Elephas maximus indicus: one gene and its partner. The protein of the gene in region 1 purifies or fractionates together with the protein of each later gene. This does not show direct contact. Links are inferred from orthologs where the notes say so. Each region holds a gene or a part of one and is shown on either strand. Other genes may lie near its edges.

Region 1 (10,089 bases):
TGTCAGATGGATCCTGGCTGAAAGCAGAGACTACCAGAAAGATGTTTATCTGTGTTTTATTGACTATGCAAAGACATTCAACTGTGTGGATCATAACAAATTATGGATAACATTGAGGAGAATGGGAATTCTGGAACACTTAATTGTGCTCATGAGGAATCTGTACATCGATCAAGAGTAGCCACTGGAACAGAACAAGGGGATACTGCATAGTTTAAAGTCAGGAAAGGTGTGAGTAAGGGCTGTATCATTTCACGATACCTATTCAGTCTGTATGCTGAACAAAGAATCCAAGAAGCTGGACTATATGAAGAAGAATGGGACATCAGGATTGGAGAAAGACTCATTAACAACCTGTGTTATGCAGATGACACAACCTTGCTTGCTGAAAGTGAAGAAGACTTGAAGCACTTACTGATGAAGATTAAAGGCCACAGCCTTCACTGTGGATTACATCTCAACAAAAAGAAAACAAAAATCCTCACAACTGGACAAATAAGCAACATCATGATAAATGGAGAAAATACTGAGGTTGTCAAGGATTTCATTTTACTTGGATCCACAATCAACACGCATGGAAGCAGCAGTCAAGAAATCAAAAGACGGATTGCACTGGGCAAATAGGCTGCAAAAGACCTCTTTAAAGTGTTGGAAAGCAAAGATGTCACCTTGAGGAATAAGGTGTGCCTGACCCAAGCCACTATGTTTTCGATCGTCTCATATGCATGCGAAAGCCAGACGATGAATAAGGAAGACCAAAGAAGAATTGATGCCTTTGAATCGTGGTATTGGTGAAGAATATCGAATATACCATGGACTGCCAAAAGAATGACAAAGTCTGTCTTGGAAGAAGTGCATCCAGAATGCTTCTTAGAAGCAAGGATGGCAAAACTATGTCTTATGTACTTTGGACATATTATGAGGAGGGATCAGTCCCTGGAAAAAGATGTCATGCTTGGTAAAATAGAGGATCAGTGAAAAAGAGGAAGACCCTCAACGAGATGGATTGACATAGTGACTGCAACAATGGGCTCAAGCATAACTACAAGTGTAAGGACGGTGCGGAACCAGGCAGTGTTTCGTTCTGTTGTGCAAAGTGTCGCTATAAGTTGGAACAAACTTGAGGATACCTAACAACAGCAGAACCTTTGAACTTTAAGGGTGATGGGAAGTACCTCCATGAAGAACTGCCTCCCTTACCATGAGACCAGAGCTAGATGGTGTCTGGCTACCACTACTGAACATTTTGATCAAAGATTCTCTAGAAGAATCCTGATCAGAAGGGGGAAAATATAGAACAGAATCTCAAATTCTCATGGACTCCAGACTTTCTGGAGCCTTGGAGGCTGGCTGAACCTTGAAACTACTGCCCTAAAATAATCTTTAAACCTTAAGCCAAAAACATCCCCTGAAGTCTTCTTAAAACCAAAATATAGTTTAATTTAACTAGTAAAGGATGTCTGCCTTGAGCATTGTGCTCTTCTAAGATCTATCTATGTGGGATCAAATTAACAACAGTAACACAAAAGATTAGATCAGAAACTTAGGAGACAGTGAGTTTATGTTAGTGGGGGAGGAACATCTCAGAAAAGGAGGGTGAGGATGTTTACACAACTCAAAGAATATAATCAATGTCACTGAATTGTACATGTAGAAATTGTTGAATTAGTATATGTTCTGCTGTGTACATGCTCAACAAAAAAAATAAAATGAATTACTAAAAAAATAGAGATGGGAAGTGTGGGAAGGAAATCATGATTAGATTCGTGTGCTGAAAAGCTCACTTTGGCTTCTATTAGAGAACAGTTTGCTAGAGAGCAGAGCCAGAAGGGAGGCTGGGAGCCCTGTTAAGAGCATATTGTCATAATCCAAGCAAGAGATAACGTAAACCGGGACAGCATGTGTGCAGGCAAGAGGGAAAAAGGAGATGGACTGAAGAGTCTCTGGACTAATGAGAACGAGGGAGAGGAAGATGCCTAGGGTGGGGCTTTTCCAGCTGAGTGGAAACGGATGAACAGCTCGTGAGGTATCCCAGCGCAGACGTCAGGTAGGTGGTTGTGGAGGCCACTTATCTTTGAGACAGTTTGACTTTTGTAAACAGGCGACCTCACGGAGCTATTCTGAGAATTCAGCGCAGGGTATGCGGTACATGCTCCACAGACATTAGTCCTTTACCCTACTCACGATCCTAACAGCTTACTGCGGATTCAGCGGTGGTCAGAGCCAGGACCTGTTTAGCTCCAGGTCCTGCCCCTTTGGCCCCTTGCGCCACCCTCTACCTTAGCACGTTTCCTGACTCATAGATGCTCAGTATTTGTAAGATGGGAGGAATGAAAATAGGCCCCTTGTGTCTCAGGGTACATGTGCTCGGCTGAAAACTGAGGCTAAACCAGACTCTTGGCTGACCGACAAATTAAAATAATTTTTTAAAAAGTGGGCGTGATTTACAATAGCAAAAAGTTGGAAGCAACCAAGGTGTCCATCAACGGATGAATGGGTAAATAAATTGTGGTATATTCACACAATGGAATACTATGCATCGATAAAGAACAGTGACGAATCTGTGAAACATTTCATAACATGGAGGAACCTGGAAGGCATTATGCTGAGCGAAATTAGTCAGAGGCAAAAGGACAAATATTGTATAAGACCACTATTATAAAATCTTGAGAAATAGTAAACCTGAGAAGAACACATACTTTTGTGGTTACGAGGGGGGGAGGGAGGGAGGGTGGGAGAGGGTTTTTTATTGATTAATCAGTAGATAAGAACTGCTTTAGGTGAAGGGAAAGACAACACTCAATACATGGAAGGTCAGCTCAATTGGACTGGACCAAAAGCAAAGAAGTTTCCGGGATAAAATGAATGCTTCAAAGGTCAGCGGAGCAAGCGCAAGGGTCTGGGGAACATGGTTTGCGGGGACTTCTAAGTCAATTGGCAAAATAATTCTATTATGAAATCATTCTGCATCCCACTTTGAAATGTGGCGTCTGGGGTCTTAAATGCTAACAAGCGGCCATCTAAGATGCATCAATTGGTCTCAACCCACCTGGAGCAAAGGAAAATGAAGAACACCAAGGCCACACAACAACTAAGAGCCCAAGAGACAGAAAGGGCCACATGAACCAGAGACCTACATCATCCTGAGACCAGAAGAACTAGTTGGTGCCCGGCCACAATCGATGACTGCCCTGACAGGGAGCACAGCAGAGGACCCCTGAGGGAGCAGGAGATCAGTGGGATGCAGACCCCAAATTCTCATAAAAAGGGAATCCCGGCGGCCATGCTCCCCAGACCTTCTGTTGGCACAGGACAGGAACCATCCCCGAAGACAACTCATCAGACATGAAAGGGACTGGTCAGCGGGTGGGAGAGAGACGCTGATGAAGAGTAAGCTAATTATATCAGGTGGACACTTGAGATTGTGTTGGCAACTCTTGTCTGGAGGGGGGATGGGAGGATAGAGAGAGAGGGAAGCTGGCAAAATTGTCAAGAAAGGAGAGACTGAAAGGGCTGACTCAAGAGGGGGAGAGCAAGTGGGAGTAGGGAGTGAGATGTATGTAAACTTATATGTGACAGACTGATTGGATTTGTAAACGTTCACTTGAAGCTTAATAAAAGTTATAAAAAAAAAAAAAAGTGGGCGTGAAATAATCCACAAGTTGGAAACCTTGGACAAAGGCTAAGGAGGTCCTCCCGCCAGACGCCTCAGGATTAGGTTATCGAGCAAGCTGGCGCCGGTGCGAGCTCTGGATCACGCACCGCCAAAGGATTCGCAGCTCCGCGCTTCCCAGGCTCCAAAGAAACGCCGGAGCGGGCTACCAGCTCGGCCTGGCCGGGTCCCGCCGCGGCCTTTAAAGGCCCACCACGTGGCCGCTGCGCCAGCCCGGGTCCGGAGGCGGAGCCCCCGCGGCGCCTGCGCACTGCCTAACGGGTGGGGTGGGGGGATCCGGGGTTCCGAGAAAAGGCGCCGGGTGAGGAAAGGAAGATAGCGCTGGGTGGGCGGCCATGGGAGGAGCCGGCTCCATATGCAAATCACAGCGCCGCGCGAGGACTAGAGGCGTGGCTTGCGATTCCGAGCCGGGTCCGCCTTTCGAATCGCGAGGGGCGGGCCCTACAACCCTCGGCCTCTTTCCGCGAGTCCCTGACGTCGCGGACGTCCCGTTTAAAAGCGGCCGCGCAGGCGCAGTGAGCCGAAATGCGAACTTAGACTGTTACACAACTGCTGGGGTCTGCTCTCGCCGCCTGCCCGGCAGTCAGTCAGCTTCGTTGCCGCTGTCGCCGCCTCAGCGGTTCCGGGAGTCTCAGGCCCGCCGCTGTCGCTGCTTATCCGCGCCTCTGGGAGCCTCCGGGAGCTTCCGCGAGCCCCCCGTCTGTCAGCACAGCCGGTCCTGACCGCCTGCGTCTCCTCCGCACCCCTCGCCGCCTGCCGCGCTCGCCGCTCCGGCCGACATGAGTGGGGACCATCTCCACAACGATTCCCAGGTACGGCCCGGCCCGAGCCTCGCGGCCCCCAGACGCCGCCTGGCCCTCCCGCGACCCCCGGCACAGGCCCCGACACGGCTCGGCCGCTTTGACAGGCCGGAGTCCCCGGCGAGGGGCCGCCTGCCGGGGGAGATTGGCTGGCTAGGCCGCGGGTGGAAGCCGTGAAGTTACAGTTCAGGGGGGATGGCTGCCCTCGTAGGCCGTTCCCGGGGCCCCATCGTCCCGGGCGGCACGGGGGGCTAAGCCCCCGGCCGCGCGCGTTCGCCGCCCGGAGTGGGGGGATCAACTTGCCTGTCGTTTCATATTTCCTCCTTTTCTTTCTCCAGATCGAAGCGGATTTCCGATTGAATGGTGAGTGTGCCCCAGCCCCTCGACCCTGCCCCGACCCTGGGCCCCCAGCTGCCGGCCGGCTACCCCGCGCCCGGCCCGAGCCGGGCAGAGGACAGACATGGCGTCCCAGAGACTAAGTCCCGGCTCCGAGCTCACCGGCCCCATTGTTCCCATCGGGCCGCCTCTGGACCCCCTTTCCAGGGACCCAAGCCCCCCCAGATCGCGGGCCTCCGAAGAGGGGGTAACGGAGACCCCGTATCGCCCGTCGCCCGGCGTCGGGGAGCTTCTCCGGGCCCGGATTCCTCCCGGGAAAGTCGCCTTGTCGACGGTCGGGACTTAGTCTCTGCGCCATTTTCTTTTTCTCTCTCCTCTCCTTTCTGTGCCTGTGTCTCTTTCTCTCCCTCCCTCGGCTCCTTCCTTGGGCTGCCCAGAAAGAGCTTTCTGCAGAGCAAAGCCTTATAAATCACAGACCCCACTAGGGAAGGAAGGGTGGGAGATGGAATTATTATTATTTTTTTCCAGTTAGAACTTTATTTTGGTGTTCCCTTTCTGCGGCTTGTTTGTTCCCTTTCTGTTTCCAGAATGAAAGATTCCCTTCGCAACTGTTGATTTTTTTTTTTTTTTCGGTAAGATGTTTATGATAGGAATTATGGCGCTGAAACTAACGCTGCTCTTTGTGGAATTCTTCATATTTCAAGATTTTGTTTGTTGTAAAGGTAGTAGTAGCTCCCTTCAAAAAGTTTGCAAGTTCTCTCTAGGCCACCCAGTGTAAATGTTGGACTCTGGCATGTTGATTTTTTGAAAAAATTAGAGCATTCGGGTCTGGAACTTTTCACTGTGACTGAGGTTCCTAAGGCAGTTTTTCCTAGAAATGTAGTTTAGTGTACTTGTTATGAGGAAAGGTTACTGAGCATCTCATCTGGACCTGGTGTATGGGCCTTTTCATTTGGACTGTGGGGAAGGAAAAGATTTTATTTATCGGAAGAAAAAGTGGCCAGCACCTACCCCTGCTTCTTGTTCATTTTTCAGAACCCACTGGTTTCCAGATACCAAGAGCCAGCTTGCTTTTCCCAGACTTTCATGTTTTTGAACTCTTTGCAGCCAAATTAAGACATTTATTTTTCAAGTATTTCTTCAGTTACCCAGCGTAGATTCTCCAATAAAAAAGCTCACCCTTGCAGGCATTCCAACAATCCTTTCGAAGGAGAAGATAGTATTCCTTTGTAGTGTGCTGGGAATTCCCACTGATTCTGATGGTACATAATCCTGCTTAGTTGAGTTTGGGTTCCGGGAACCTCTCCAATGGGAGAAGCTGATGAAGAGGTTTTCTGATGTTGTAATAAGCAGTGCAGTCCATCATGTCAGCCTGCTCTTCTGAGAGCAGTCTTACGTTCAGAATTTGAAGCAGAGCATCCAGCAAGAGATGGCACTCCACTAGGAGAGAATCCAGTTGAAGTGTAGCATTTCTTGAGCATCTGATATGTGCTAAGCCCTGTGCTTAGTGTTAGAGCTGAACCTTCTTCCACCACAACACTACTCTTGCCTTCACATAATTCATATAATTCAGTCTATTGGAGGAGACATAAATAGTTAATTATAAGGTAGGTGCTGGGGCATATTTACACTCAAAAGGTGTTGGGAGCATAGGGGACTTAATTTTGTCAGGGGGTGGGGAAATTTTGGAGGAGGTGATGTCTGAGCTGGGTCTTGTGCGAGACTAGGTCCTGAGAGAATTGTCAGTGGTTGGAGTGTTTCTTAACTACCCGTTTAGCCAACCTGTCAGGTTTTTAAAAGAGGGAGGAGATAGGGCCCCTGCAGTCCAGACAGTCCCAAGGCATGTTTCTTTGGGATGTGGGAGCAAAGAAAGAATGTGGCAGGTGAGGATGTAGGAAGTCCTTTTGACCTCCCGTGGAGAAAGGTAGCATTTTAATAAATTAATAAAGTACGCTTGTGACTTTTCAGGCGGGGCTGAGTAGGTAGTGTATTTAGTAATGAAAAACAGCCAGCCCTTTATCCTCATGAGTAAGTGAACCTCCATAGTTCTTAACCTAAATTCTACGAAGGAACTATTGAATATGTAGAGCATTAGTGGGCTGGAAAGGTTTTTGATCCTTACTGCCGTTTTTATAGAGAATGGAATGAACTGGCCATGTAGACTTTCGGAAAGCATATGTACACATGTAATAGCAGTAATAGCTAATATTTATTGAACAGTTACTATCTGTCAGATACAATTCTCAGCTCTTTCCATGCATTATCTGGTTTAATCCTTGGAAGAATCTTTATGAGTTAGGTACTATTTACCTACATATTATAGATGAGGAAGGTGAGGCTTAGGTATGTTTACTAGCTTGCCCAAGGGCAGCAAGTTGTGAACTCCAAAGCCCGTGAGTTTAGCCACTGTACTGTAGAACTGGTTCTAGTATGAAGAAATTAAAAGCTGCACATCTTTACTTAAAGGGGTCTAAAAGAAAAAAAGGGAAGGATTTGGTACTTTGTCATTTGCTTATTTTTTAGCTAAATGTGTTCCTTCAAGAGAAGAAACACTTTCACTGTCTTTACTTTCTCCTCAGAAGAATGTTATTCCTGGAGTAATTATCTTTTTGAATATTATCTAGAAGAAAGATGTGTTAGTAACTGTGTGCATGCTCTATCAAGTTGTATACTGGTAACTAGTGATTGATTTATTTAACTATGATAAGACAGTTTCTAAAAAAAAAATCAATGTTTAATTGTGTTCAGACATGTCATTATTGATTTTTGTATTAAGAGGAGTTTGCTTAAGCATGATTTTGAGTGGGCGTAGCCCGTATTACAGGTTAAATGTGCAAGTTCATGTATTAAAATCAAACATCCTTTATCTTGCCTGCCCTCAGCCCCTTAAGTCTAAGAGACTTGTTTTTCCTTTGGAGCCTATACTTTACAATAGTATGTAGTTAGTTGCAGTTAATATGGAATTTAGAACATTCTGGCCCATACTCAACTGCTGGGAAAATCTGCTTTTTGTGAAATATATTTGTAATACTGAGAGTGAGCTGGGAATTTCAGGAGCAGAGCTGTAACTTCTCTCTTACCTAGATGAAAAGACTTCCTTTGTAAGTGTTGGTAGCACTAACTGTAGTGGGTCTAAAGGCACGATTACAATAAGTATAGGCTGCTTGGTGTATCTGTAGAGTTGGTAGTGGTAACATCAGGCTGGGTGTTAGTGATCCTTTTGTTGTTTCCAGGACTTGAAGTTGGGGAGCTCCCTGCCCCCCAGCACTGCTCATCAGTAATATGTTGATTCACTGGTATGAGTGAATCCTTCACTTCCTCAGTGATTATTCCAGGAAGTGTTACTGGTTCATGGTTTGACATCTTGTGTTGGTTCTAGTTAGCTTGATGGATTTAAATTCGATGAGTGGACTAAGTATGAATTGTTTCTGATGCTAACAGGTAGTTGTACTTTTGTGCTGTTGGGCACAGGTTGAGGGTGGGAAGGCTGATGATGTGATTTGAAAATTCCTATCATATTTTTAAAACTGAAGAGCGATGGCACCTCCCGAAGAAATGTGGCACATCTTCAGACCCAGTCCAGAAACATTTAAGCGTTCGGCTTCACTGTTGTCTTTTCCTTCCACTGCAGCCAGATTCCTTGGGGCACCTTTTCAGGATTAGTGAGCTGCTGTAGAATATATTATACTTTGCAGTGAAACACGATTACCTGTCAATACGTGCTTTTTAGATGACTAGCAGATCTCAAAGTTCTCTCAGATCTCACAAACAAATTTTAGACTAAGATCTTCTGGTAAAACCAAGTCCAGGAGTTACTCCAAAGGAATCAGAAGTACCTCGTGGTCTGAAAGGTGAAAACTAGATATTACTGTCACCAACTCCTAATTTTCTTTGGTCAGTGGGTAAGGTAAAATGGAAAATAGGAACCCAGGGTCAGTACCCTAATCTCATTTTAACCAATAGTAGCGGGGAGGAGGGGAGGTTGAGTCTGACTTTTTTTCCTCACTGTCAGCGTAAAAATGGGGAATTGTATTTGAAAGAGAGATTCATTAATTTGCCCTGGGGCATAGTAAATTAGTACCCGTCTATATGAGTGCCAGGGTTTATTTTAACTAACATTTTAAAGCTTATATTCCAAAATTGGGCTGTGGTATTAACTGACAGTTTTTGTTTGTTTTCAATGGGGTGGGAGGGGAGGGTGATGCATAAAAATGTCTGACTTTTGAGCCTGTAAATGTGTTAGAAAAACTTTATACATGTTACATATCACTTACAATAATGGTTCTCTGCTGCCGCTAATAGGATGCGAAATTATTTTGTACTTTCTGGGTGTTTTTAATTTTTGGAGCCTTCAGATGATACTGACGTGTGAGTGCGTATGTATTTTACAGATGTTTAATAACTTTTGCCATACGTACAGTCAGTAAAGTTCAAATTCCCTTTGATAAATGAATTTACATGTAATTATTTTCTTTTGAATGTGGCTATAGGAATGCTTCAAAGGAGTATTTGGCGGGGTGGGGGGGGGCCCTGAAAGAAATAAGGAACAGTAAAGTATAGTCAATTTGTTGCATTTGGAGGTAGACAAGAGTCACTTTAGTGAATTTTCTGTGTCCTGTGATTTAGATTATTTGACTGTCCCTTTATTATTTTGAAACCATTAGTTTTGCATAATAAGGGCATTTGGGCAAACGGAATTTGATTTCTTAAGGTGAAAGGTTTAGGATGGGCCAAGTTCCAGGCTTGCCCCTGAAGAAGTGGGGTATTGTGTTAAAAGAAAGCTTTCAGATTGTATTTAAACTTGAAGTAGTAATATTTGGAACAAGTGTTTTCTCCCTGTTTCCTTGCCTTGTAAATTTGCAGTTAGAGAAGCAGTTTTCCGTCCTCATGGCTCCAAGCCAGTAACTGTAGTAGGAAATCTAAAATAGAGGCTGTTGGCATGGAAAAATTAGCATTTTGCTGGCCCTTTCTCCTCCCCCGCTTGGTCTGAGTAGGTGCAGGCGGTGTGCCCGCTGTTGATAGCCTAGGCTAGGGCCTCGGTACCGTGGAGAAGGAGGGCTGGCAAGGTGGCCAGCAGCTTGATGAGGTGGGAAAAGCTTATATATAGCTGAATATCTGTTAGATATTAATGGTATTTTTGATAGTGTTCTAGGAAATGGATGTTTGCTGAAATGATTTCACAGCAACTACATGTTGTTGAACATAATTTTTATTCTATGTGTTTAATATCTTAAATACTTTTCAAACTCACAGAGGTGACATTGCTGATATCTGGGGTAT
Region 2 (10,089 bases), on another chromosome or scaffold:
TTAGAGTGTCTGAGTAGCGCCGGTGCTTGCCCGACACAACTCTGGGCTCAGGGAAGTGAAGACGTCCCGTAGCCCTTTGCGCGTCCCAGGCCTCTCTTGCACCTGGTGTAGATCTTGGTGGTTTGCTCATAACCCGTGCCCACCTCAGGCTCGGCAGAACGGGACCCTTCGATCCCAGTCGCATCTCATCTCTCTCTCACTTCAGTCCCCCGCCCCCCCTCCCCAATGGCTCCCTAGCTTGTCTAAAACAAAATTCGTGCTTACTGCTTTGCCTTACAACATCTGGCCTCGCCTCCGCTCTGATGGGGTGGGGTCACGCTCCAGCCCTCCTTGCCGTCCTCCTAACCCACCACGTTCATTCCCGCAGCAGCCTTTGAACTTGCGAGTCTCTCTCTACCTCCCTTGGCTGCTCCCTTTCCGCCATTCAGTTTCTCTGAGCGCTCCTTCGAAGATTTCCTCCCCTCCTATTCACGACTCCATTCTTTATGCACTACATTGGTTTTAAAAACTCGTTCTGTCAAAATAGATTATCTTTCGTAAAGTCGATTTTCTAGCATGTAAGCTCTATGAGGGCAGGATTCCTGTTTTGTCGCATTCACCGCTCTATCCCCAGCATGCAGAACGGGGTTGATATTAGGTCTTAACTAAAGAATGAATTGGCGCTGGGGAGAAAGAGAAGGAAGGAAAAAAGGAAGTCCTCTGGGGCTCCGCTAAGGCCCAAGGAGCGCCGTGCTTGAGTTCTGAGCCAGCAGGACAGATTTCACTATTTTCAAAGACATGTTCTACTGTAAATAGTCACGTACATTTCAGTATCGCTTCATTTATGCGTATTTTGATTTTAAAAAAAGTTATTCCTCCTCAAAAGAAAAAAAAAAATTCTTCCAGTTAGCTCTTAAGGCAGATGGAGGTGGGGAAAAGGCCTTGTGGTCACAGAAGAGAAGGCAAAGAGGACCACATACCCATCTCCCTGGCTCAGCGGCCTCTCGAAGAAACAGGGAAGGTTAGGTAAGGAGAAAGGAGTCTCTGCCTCCGGGAGAGTGCGGCGAAATGTCGGCGTGCAGAGTGCGAGGGCTGGAAGCGCTCGGTCCCAGCTGCGGCTCAGAAGCCCTGGGGAGCGCTGGACATCTCCACCCTCCACCGAAAAGAGCGGAAGTCAGATTTGGTAGAGTTGGGCCAAAGGCCGGGAATCCGGCTCATGACATATCTCCCGCAGACGATGCCACGCGCTATAGGTTTGGGAACCCTGGGACTGGTCCAGCCACCTAGGTATGCGGATGGGATAACTGAGGCCCGGTGAGTGGATGAGACTGACCAGCTAGTTTAGAGGGAGAGGGGCACTAGCTCTGTAGCCTCCTGGCTCGTCAACGTTCCACAGACTAGGCCTTGAGCTGCGGTGAGGGCGGTGTGTGCTTGGGCGGTGGTGTTGTGTCTATGTGTGTGCGAGTGGGGAGAGGCATGAGAAAGGTTTTCAAGTACGGACGTCCACCTATGGCTATTTCCCGTCTGCAGCGCTGACCTGGCGGCGTGACCGGGAAACCCGGGTTGTGCCACAGATTGGCTGTGTGTGTGAGCTGAGGTGAGACCCGAGACCCTGCCCCTCCCGGCCAAACTTTGTCTTCTGGAAAAGCGCGCTGGGCTCCAGAAGTTCTGAGGGTTCGAATTTTTAGATCCTGGGCATCCGCCCTCACCTGCTGAGCCCTCTGCGGCGTCTCCATGGGCGCGGTCGCCGCCTTCGGTGTCCCCCGCGGCCGCACGCAGGTACAGGGAGACGTCGCGGTGACCCCGCTCCTCAGCCAGGTCCACGGGCAGGCGGCCCCAGGCGTCGCGCACGTCCAGCCGCGCCCCGGCGCGATGCAGCACCATCAGCGTGTCCAGGAAGCCCTCCCGCGCGGCGTCGTGCACCGGTCGGGTGAGGGTGGCGGGGTCCGCGCAGTTGGGCTCCGCGCCGTGGAGCAGCAGCAGCTCCGCCACACGGGCGCTGCCCATCATCATGACCTGCCGGGAGAGCAGAGCGGTCAAGGCGACCGGCGGGGGCAGGATTAATGTAAAGAAACACTTATTTACGACGCCCCGAAGCCCCGAGATCATAGCCACCCAAAGCAGAGGCGCGGAGAAGTTACAGGTGTTGGTTACTCTTTCTTTACTCCCAGTTACCACCCCTCTTCCAGTTCTACACATTCTGCCTGTCAATACACATTTCACTGCATTATATTCTCCAACCTTTTGCGGAGCTCCAGCCCCAAGGAGAACACCGCCAGAGGCAGAGACAACAAAATGGTGAGGGCCAAGCTGGCTTTTACCACTGCCTAACCATTCTGTCTTTTTTTCTCATTTTGAGATGAAATTATCTAAACCAGAGAGATTTTGTTTGGTTCCCCGCTGCACTTCCAGAACGTGGTAATTGTCAACACTTTTTTTTTTAATTTGAACTTATTTTTTGCTGTGAGCTCAAACTGTAAGTATAAAATGAGAGGGCTTGTCTCGTGTGATAGGCTGAATAATGCTTCCCCCTCAAATGTCTGTGTCCAAATTCCCAAATTTGTGAATATATTACTTTACATGTCAAAAAGAATTTGGCAGATATAATTAAGTAAAAGATTTTGAGATGGGGAGATTATCCCGGTTTATCAGGTGGGCCCAGTGTCATCACGGATGTGTCATTATGAAAGGGTCACAGTCTGACAGAAGACATAAGGATGGAAGCAGAGATGAGAGAGGAGACAGATGCTACACTGCCAACTGTGAAGACAGCGGAATGCGTTACAAGCCAAGGAATATAGGTGGGCTTCTAGAATCTGGAAAAGGCAAGGAGCCAGACTCTCCCCTAGAGCATTTAAAAGGAACACCGTTCTGTGAGCCCATTTTAGACTTCTCATCTCCAGACCTGCAGGCTAATAAACTCGTGCAGCTTTAAGCTGCTAAGTTTGTGATAATTTGTTACAGCAGCAATGGGAAACTCATACTCTCCTACAGGAGCTGCCCCTCTCTCTGGTTCATAAATTTGTGATAATTTGTTACAGCAGCAATGGGAAACTCATATACTCTCCTACAGGAGCTGCTCGTCTCTTTGGTACATAAATTATCTTTGAAACAAAATAATTTCCAAAGGGGAATTTTAAAATGGTGTGCACCTTAGCAGCCTTAGAATTGGGATGCCATGTTATGGGTGCTGGTGGAGGATTCTTTTTAGAATAACCATTATCTGGTTATATTTGCTTGGGGATACTGACTGTATAAAGAGAAATTACTTAGTTATGTTTTGTATCAATTAAATAAATTATTTTTATTTGCCCAAAGGGAGGAAAAATAATAAATTATACTATAGGTGTTGAGTTCTGCCCCAAAAGTGGGGAAACCAATTTAGTTTTCAAAAGAACGAGGGAAAATATATGTGAACCAAATTACAGCCACACAAAAAAAAAATTGCAGCACAGTTTTTGTTTACCCAACCAAATCAAGTCATTCATTTGTCATAAAACTGGTCTTAATCTAAAAACAAATGATTGGTCTCTCCTCTATGCAGCAAAAGAGAATGAAGGAATCAAAGGCTCAAAGAAGAAACTAGTCCACAGAACTAATAGCCCTCATGAACTACAGCTTTTTCTGACCTGAGACCAGAAGAACTAAATGGTCCCTGGCTACGCTACCAACCATTGTGACCAGGAATACAATAGAAGGTCCTGGATAGAACAGGGGAAAAATGTAGAACAAAATTCAAATTCTTAAAAAAGGCTGGACCTACTGGATGGAGAGTCTAGAGGAGTCCCCCCTCCCCCAGGGGCTAAGGTACCCTTTGAAGTTGGAAATGCAGTTATTTCTGCAGGTCACTTTCAGTCAAATAGGTTGGCTTATGAAATAAACAATATCACCTGTGAGTAATGTGCTCCCTTAAACAATTAACTATATGAGACCAAACAGTCAACATTTACTGAAAAGCAAACATGAGAAGGCAAGGAGAGGAAGGGAAGTTCGATCAATGTAAACAGAATAAACAGAATGGAAATAAGGTGAATGCTGATACATTGTGAAAATTGTAACCAGTATCATGAAACAATTTGTATAAACATTGTTAAAGGAGGACCTAATTCGCTGTGTAAGCTTTCACCTAGAACACAATAAAATGTTATTAAAAAAAATCTACACAAATAATTTAACCTAATAAATTGGACTACAAAAAAAAACTGGTCTTGAATGTTTTCCTTATATTTTAACATAAGAAAAAAACTGAAAAGCAACTGGGCATTTAAATATTAAAAAAAAAAATCCAAAAACAAAAAAGGCAAATCAATTAAACCGATATTGGTAGGATGCTTAAGATCCATTTGCTAAGCAATTTATTGGAATCTAGTTGTTTTAAAAGAATTTTTATAAATGACATATTCTGTATTAAAAAACAATTCGGTCGAAGTTCTACATCAAACTCATTTGGCCCCTTTCTCTATGTTCTTATCCCCGTATAAAAAAATCGTAATTATCCAACTTTCTTTTTCCTTTCTGTATCTAAACAGATGAGGTCTCGCCTAACGTATTCCAGGACTCTAAGGCCATCACTCCGAGTCTCCAGGTTGCTGGCAAAATCTTGGAGATGCTAAATTACGAATCAAACATTCTTTTTGAAGGACTCATACTTATCTTTTACAACTATCCAGCCCCTCTAGTTTCAAGATCTCTTGCCATTTCAGGACCCCAAAATCTCAAGTTTTAAGGCATTTTTAATTTTATTCTTATATCTGTACTTTTTTTTTGCACTGTACTTTAAAGTGTGTAAAATATATATCCTTTGTAGGATAGGTTCAAGAAGGAAAGATTCACTCATGAAGTCTGACGCAGTTACTTTCCTTTGTCTTATGAAGCTTTTACAATGTGCATTTGTTTCACATATTCTCTTTTTCAGAATCAGAGATCGTTGTTGCCGCTGGGAATAAAATTAGGCTGGTAACCGCCAGCAAGAATTAACTTTTTGGCATGATATTTAGGAAGTTAGTGAAGAAAAAACACATGCAACCTTCCCTGGTCCCCCCTCCCCCTTCACACACAAGGGAGGGGGAGGAGAAAAATGGAACCTTCCAGCAGTGAAAAATTGAAAACTCTCTCCCAAGTAAAATAATCCATATCAAGTAAGTTAAAATGACAAAAATAATAGCAAATACTCTTAAGATGGTAACTAAATTGGAAATATTGTCTTAGGCAAGATCACACTAAAAAACATTTTTTTTTTTATATAGGCCTGGATGTCGTAAGATTTTTTTTACAACGAGCAGTTTCCCTACTCAGTCCTAAGTTCTTTACATGAATACATTTTCCCCCTACTCAGTTAAAATAAAAATCAACACGATATGCAGTTGTTTCTGAATAATTTCAGTCGGCATTTATTCCAACATACGTGCCAGTAGGTTTCCAGCGGAGTCCCTCCAGGAAAGAAGGTGATCAGCTTTATTCAGGGGTCTGTGAGTTTGGGGCTACATAGTCCCAGTGAACCTTACATTTCTTTAAAATCTCGCGTTTTATCTCATTCATAGATTCTGTATCTGGAATATACCTCGGTCTATACGGGTTGGTTTTTTTTTTTTTTTATATGAACACACATGTATATGTTCCCCCCGCCAGATTCTTATAGTCACACCACTCCAGAGATGTGCACCCCAAGTGCCCCCTCCTTCCCTCCGGGGCTTCCCGAGGCCCCGGGGCGTCGTCACGAGGTCTCCGACCCCAAAATCTTTTCTGAAAACGTCCCGGGAAATCGCCCCTTTTCCGAGAATCCAAACGCCACCCGGTTCCCATTCCCCTGCAACCGTCGTCCTCCCGAGCAGCCCGCCATCACCTTCTCCCGCTCGGGACCTGCTACCTACCTGGATCGGGCGGCGCCCGTAGCGGTTCGGCGCGTTAGGCTGCGCCCCCGCCCGCAGCAGCGCCCGCACCTCCCGGGCCCGGCCTCGGGCGGCCGCCGTGGCCAGCGAGTCGGCGGTGGGCTCCATGCCGCTCCCCGCGCCTCGCTCCCTTGTCCCCTCGTCCCCTTCCTCCCGCCGCCGCCTAGCGCCCGGCCCGCCCTCTCGTGACTGGCCCGCCCCTCGCTTCCCTCCGCCGGGCGGGCGGAAACCGGCTGCCCGAGCCCCCGCGCCGCGGCCCCCTGAATCGGTCTCCCCACCCCTCCGGCGGGGCCACCGCGTCTTTCCACTTCTAGGGGCGCCGATCACGTGGTGTCCTCCAAGGACACTAGAGCACGCCACGGAGGTGCCCCGAGGTCGCCCCACGCGGCGGCTGGCCGCACGGCCTTCGGCTCCCCGAGAAGCGAGACCTGCCCGGAAGCGGTCCACTCCCGGAGCACGCGGACGCCGCCGGAGCTGGGAGCCCTGCGCCCCTCCTCGCCCCCCTACCGCCCCCGTCCTCCTGTCGCCCCACCCTCACGGTGCTGTCCCCTCCCCCGATCCAACGGAAGAGCACAGGAGTCTCTAAGCGAGTTCCCTCTACTAAAGCTAAACGGAATTTCTCCCAGGTTCCTCCCTTCTCTCTACACTCTCCTAGTATTTAGATAGCTGGGCAGGGATTTCTGACTGTCAAGCTCGAACCTGAGCGTTCGATATCATAGGCAAAGTATTGCTTCCTCCCTATAGTAAGTACTCGGATGAATTGGCCAAAGCTGTCCTCTCCTCGTAATAAGGGCCTCACTGAGGATCGGTAATCCCGGTGTTGTGACTCTGAGGCGACCCTTCTTTTAGATCACCGAATCACACCTCCCTCTTCCCCAGATACTCCCTGGGTTAAGCGTTCTGAGCCTATGGTTCCAGAAAACGTACTTCAAAGATTCCTTTTTCAGAGTCTAACGGTTGCCTGCTCCCCTCTCCCCACCCACGTGGCTGGGGCGAGGGTTTCCAAGAGGTGAGCAAAGCCTCCTACTAGCGCCAGATATACGAACAGGATATGCCAGTTAGGGCTGGCTCTGAAGGTAGGGTCTATTTAACACGGACTGGAAAGAGTCCCACCTATAAGCAGATAGGAAAGTGGAGAGGAAGTCATTCGGGTGACAGACCCCATTCTTAATAAGGCGTTCCTTCTAGACCAGAGAAAGTGCTCAGCTGTCTAGAGACTGACACAGTGCATCACGGTACAGGCTCAGATACACTGTACTGGGGCCCCTCCTGGGTCTGCTTCCAGCGTCCCACACCTCTCCTTCCTCCTAGAAATACCTTGCCCTTTTCTTAGCTATAAAAAGGGGAACTTAGAGTAGTACTTACTTCACAGGGCTGTTGTGAATTTTTAATGTCCTGATTTACATATAGCATTTGGAACAGTGATACACATCCCAAGCACACAATACCTGCTAGCTATCAAATTATCCATTTGGAGGATTTGCTTGCAATCTCCTGAGGCAGAGAGAAGAAAATATTTTGGATAGAATTATCAATATTATATAAAAGAGAAGGAAGACCAAGAAGACCTTAATCACAGAAAACATGATGGTGCATCTAAGGAATTTAGTAAGCGAAAGGAAATCCAACAGAGTTCTAATTTTTCCCGTGATTATTACTTTTATGCTCTTAAAAATATATATATTACATTTAAAAATTGTATGGGTTACCTGCTGGTGCCTTGAGCACATACTGAGTCTGACTACTAGGTAACCCGGCTCTGTCTAAAAGTTAACGTTTTAATCCTTAGCTGACTTATCTTAAGCCCCAGAATACCTTGCTGTACCTTCAGTTGTTGCTAGGTCAGGCAAAATGTAGTTTTTAAATTATGCCAATTAAACATTTATTGTCAAATCTCTTATAAGAATCCATAACGTATTACTACTGTGCCTTCTATATTTTCCTCCAGGCACCTCTCAAATACTGGGCAGCAATGGTTTGAACAATTCAAACTATGGATAAGGAATCTAATATTCTTTTTAAGTTAGCTTAAGACTTTTTATGGTAAAACCTGTTGCGGTCAAGTGGATTCTGACTTATAGTGACTATGAGAACTGCCAGAATTCCCAAGGCTGTGAATCTTTACCAAAGCAGACTGCCACATCTTTGGTTAGCAGCTGAGTGATTAAGCACTGTGCCACCAGGGCTCCTTTTACATTTTATGATGGGAGGGGGGCAATATGGCTGTGATGGGAGAGATGGAACAGATTTCCCTTGTAATTATGCCTGGCTTTTAGACCAATATCAAAATTTGCTTCCATCACTAATATAATGGTTCTTAATCTTCCGTTTGAGAATCTCTTGAAAGCTACAGACATTATCCTCAAAAAAATAAATAAAGTATGCAATGAAAACCAACCAACCTCAAACCAAGTGTGTTCACTGGCAAGTATATTTCTGAATAAAACTTTCAGGGAATTCAGGTATTCATCTAAAACTCAACTATGGACTGCCACGTCAAGAATCCCTTTAGCTCTTGTGAGAAGGCAATGTATTGGAGAAGGAAGCATGAGATGGAAACACAAAAATATTTCTTGGATGAATTATATACAGACATAGAGGTTGATGCTTTGGAAATACCAACAGCAGGTTTTAGATGTGTGTTCACTAGCTCAGGCACTTGCATCGGAGCTCCTGAAAGACTGTGGCATTCTTGGGTGTGGCCCTTTTCTGGAAATTGGTCCTGTATCTATCATAAATCTGTGTAAATAAATAATAATACTGTGAAAGCTCTTCCAGTTTTTTTTTTCCTTAAAAAACCTTCCATACTCCCAGTTTACTTACTCATATCAGTTCAGACCTGAGGGGTAAAACTCCAGAAGAAATAAACTATAAAGCCAGGGATCTTGGTGCTGGTTCTGCCAGCCTCAGATTTCTTATCTGTAAAATGGGATCATGATATATTTCTTGGGTGCATGGAACAAGATGATAGATGTCAAAGAGCTTTCTAAGTTCTAAAGTTTGTTATTATTATTAACCTTACACTTACCTCTCCTCTTCCCTGAGAATGCCATGGTCTCCATTTCTGCTGTCTTGGCAGTCTTGAAAATCTATATTATGAAATTTAAACCTGTCTCAAATCTGATCAGTCTTTTAAGAAAAAAATAGAACATAAATTACTACTTATTTATTCATCCAACAAGCTCAGAGGCTAACAGTAGAGCATAGGTGGTTAAATTCAACCCTACAGTCAAATTGCCTAGATTTAAACCTAGATATTTCCACCTATTAGTTTTCTAACTGAACAAATTATTTAATGTCTTTGGTGCTCAGTATCCTCATCTCTAAAATGGGGATGATAATCATGCTTGCCTCAAATGGTGGTTGTGTGAATTAAATGGGACATAATATGTAAAGCACTTACAAGAGCAAAGGGAAGCAGAGGGTGACACAAGAAAATGAAAAGGGAGCCAAATTCATCCTGGTGGCTTAGGTGAAAGGCTTCCTGGACAGTATGAGAGCTAACCCCAACTTGAAGAAAAGCATGGGAGTGTAAAGATGGAAAGGAAAGATGGAGAAAGATGTTCCTGGCAGAGGCAAGAACAGATGCAAAGGCATAGAAGTTTAGGAAAACTGGACGTAATTCACTGGAATATACAGTGAGAAGCTGGAAAAAGAAGCTTCTGCAAAAGAAGCTGACAAGGGCTACTCAGAGTCAGAAGGAAATCCAGGAGTGAATGTGACAGCAAGGAAGTGGGGACACCTGGTGTAGACTATTCTTTCATAGTTTGGCCGTCAAAGCTCAAGGTGATATACGGTGAAGGGAAGCAGATGGAAGGTGGAAGAGACCTGAGGACACACATACAATGAAGGAACATGCCAGGTGAAGTGAAAGAACAGTTAGAAGAGACAAAAGAGAAATAGGACCTGAGGTCCTGAAAGGTATAAGAAATGGAATCCAATGCACAGGGACGTCATAAATTTGGATAAAGACAGATCTGAAGAGGGAAAAAGGGTCAAGGCAGGAAGGAAGTTGAGGTAATTCCTTCCATTAATGAGGAGGCTGGCTTGTTTGGAAAGAGTGAGGACAAGATGGTGGGTTAAGAAATTTGAGAGTCATGAAGGTTTGGAATACCTTAAGAGGAAATGACAGTGTGCCTGAGTAGGACTCAGACAGAGCCTTTTCACTGGCCCGAAGGACAGAGCTGAGTGTAGAGACCATGACACTATAGCACTAGTGTCA

Evidence for each region. Proteins that work in one complex are often made in the same cells at the same time.
Region 2: the proteins of TOP1 (region 1) and cyclin-dependent kinase inhibitor 2A-like purify together in Homo sapiens (affinity purification with western blotting; 3 studies listed by BioGRID). This does not show direct contact. The link is inferred for Elephas maximus indicus from reciprocal best matches to the Homo sapiens genes TOP1 and CDKN2A.

The regions. Positions count from the first base shown.
Region 1 is NC_064843.1:28,407,889-28,417,977, reverse strand, and holds the start of TOP1 (DNA topoisomerase 1), read left to right. Parts: upstream 1-4,177; 5' UTR 4,178-4,452; coding exon 4,453-4,485; intron 4,486-4,811; coding exon 4,812-4,836; intron 4,837-10,089. UniProt on the Homo sapiens protein: Releases the supercoiling and torsional tension of DNA introduced during the DNA replication and transcription by transiently cleaving and rejoining one strand of the DNA duplex.
Region 2 is NC_064827.1:31,841,037-31,851,125, forward strand, and holds the start of cyclin-dependent kinase inhibitor 2A-like, read right to left. Parts: upstream 6,001-10,089; 5' UTR 5,976-6,000; coding exon 5,850-5,975; intron 1,996-5,849; coding exon 1,689-1,995; intron 1-1,688. UniProt on the Homo sapiens protein: Acts as a negative regulator of the proliferation of normal cells by interacting strongly with CDK4 and CDK6. This inhibits their ability to interact with cyclins D and to phosphorylate the retinoblastoma protein.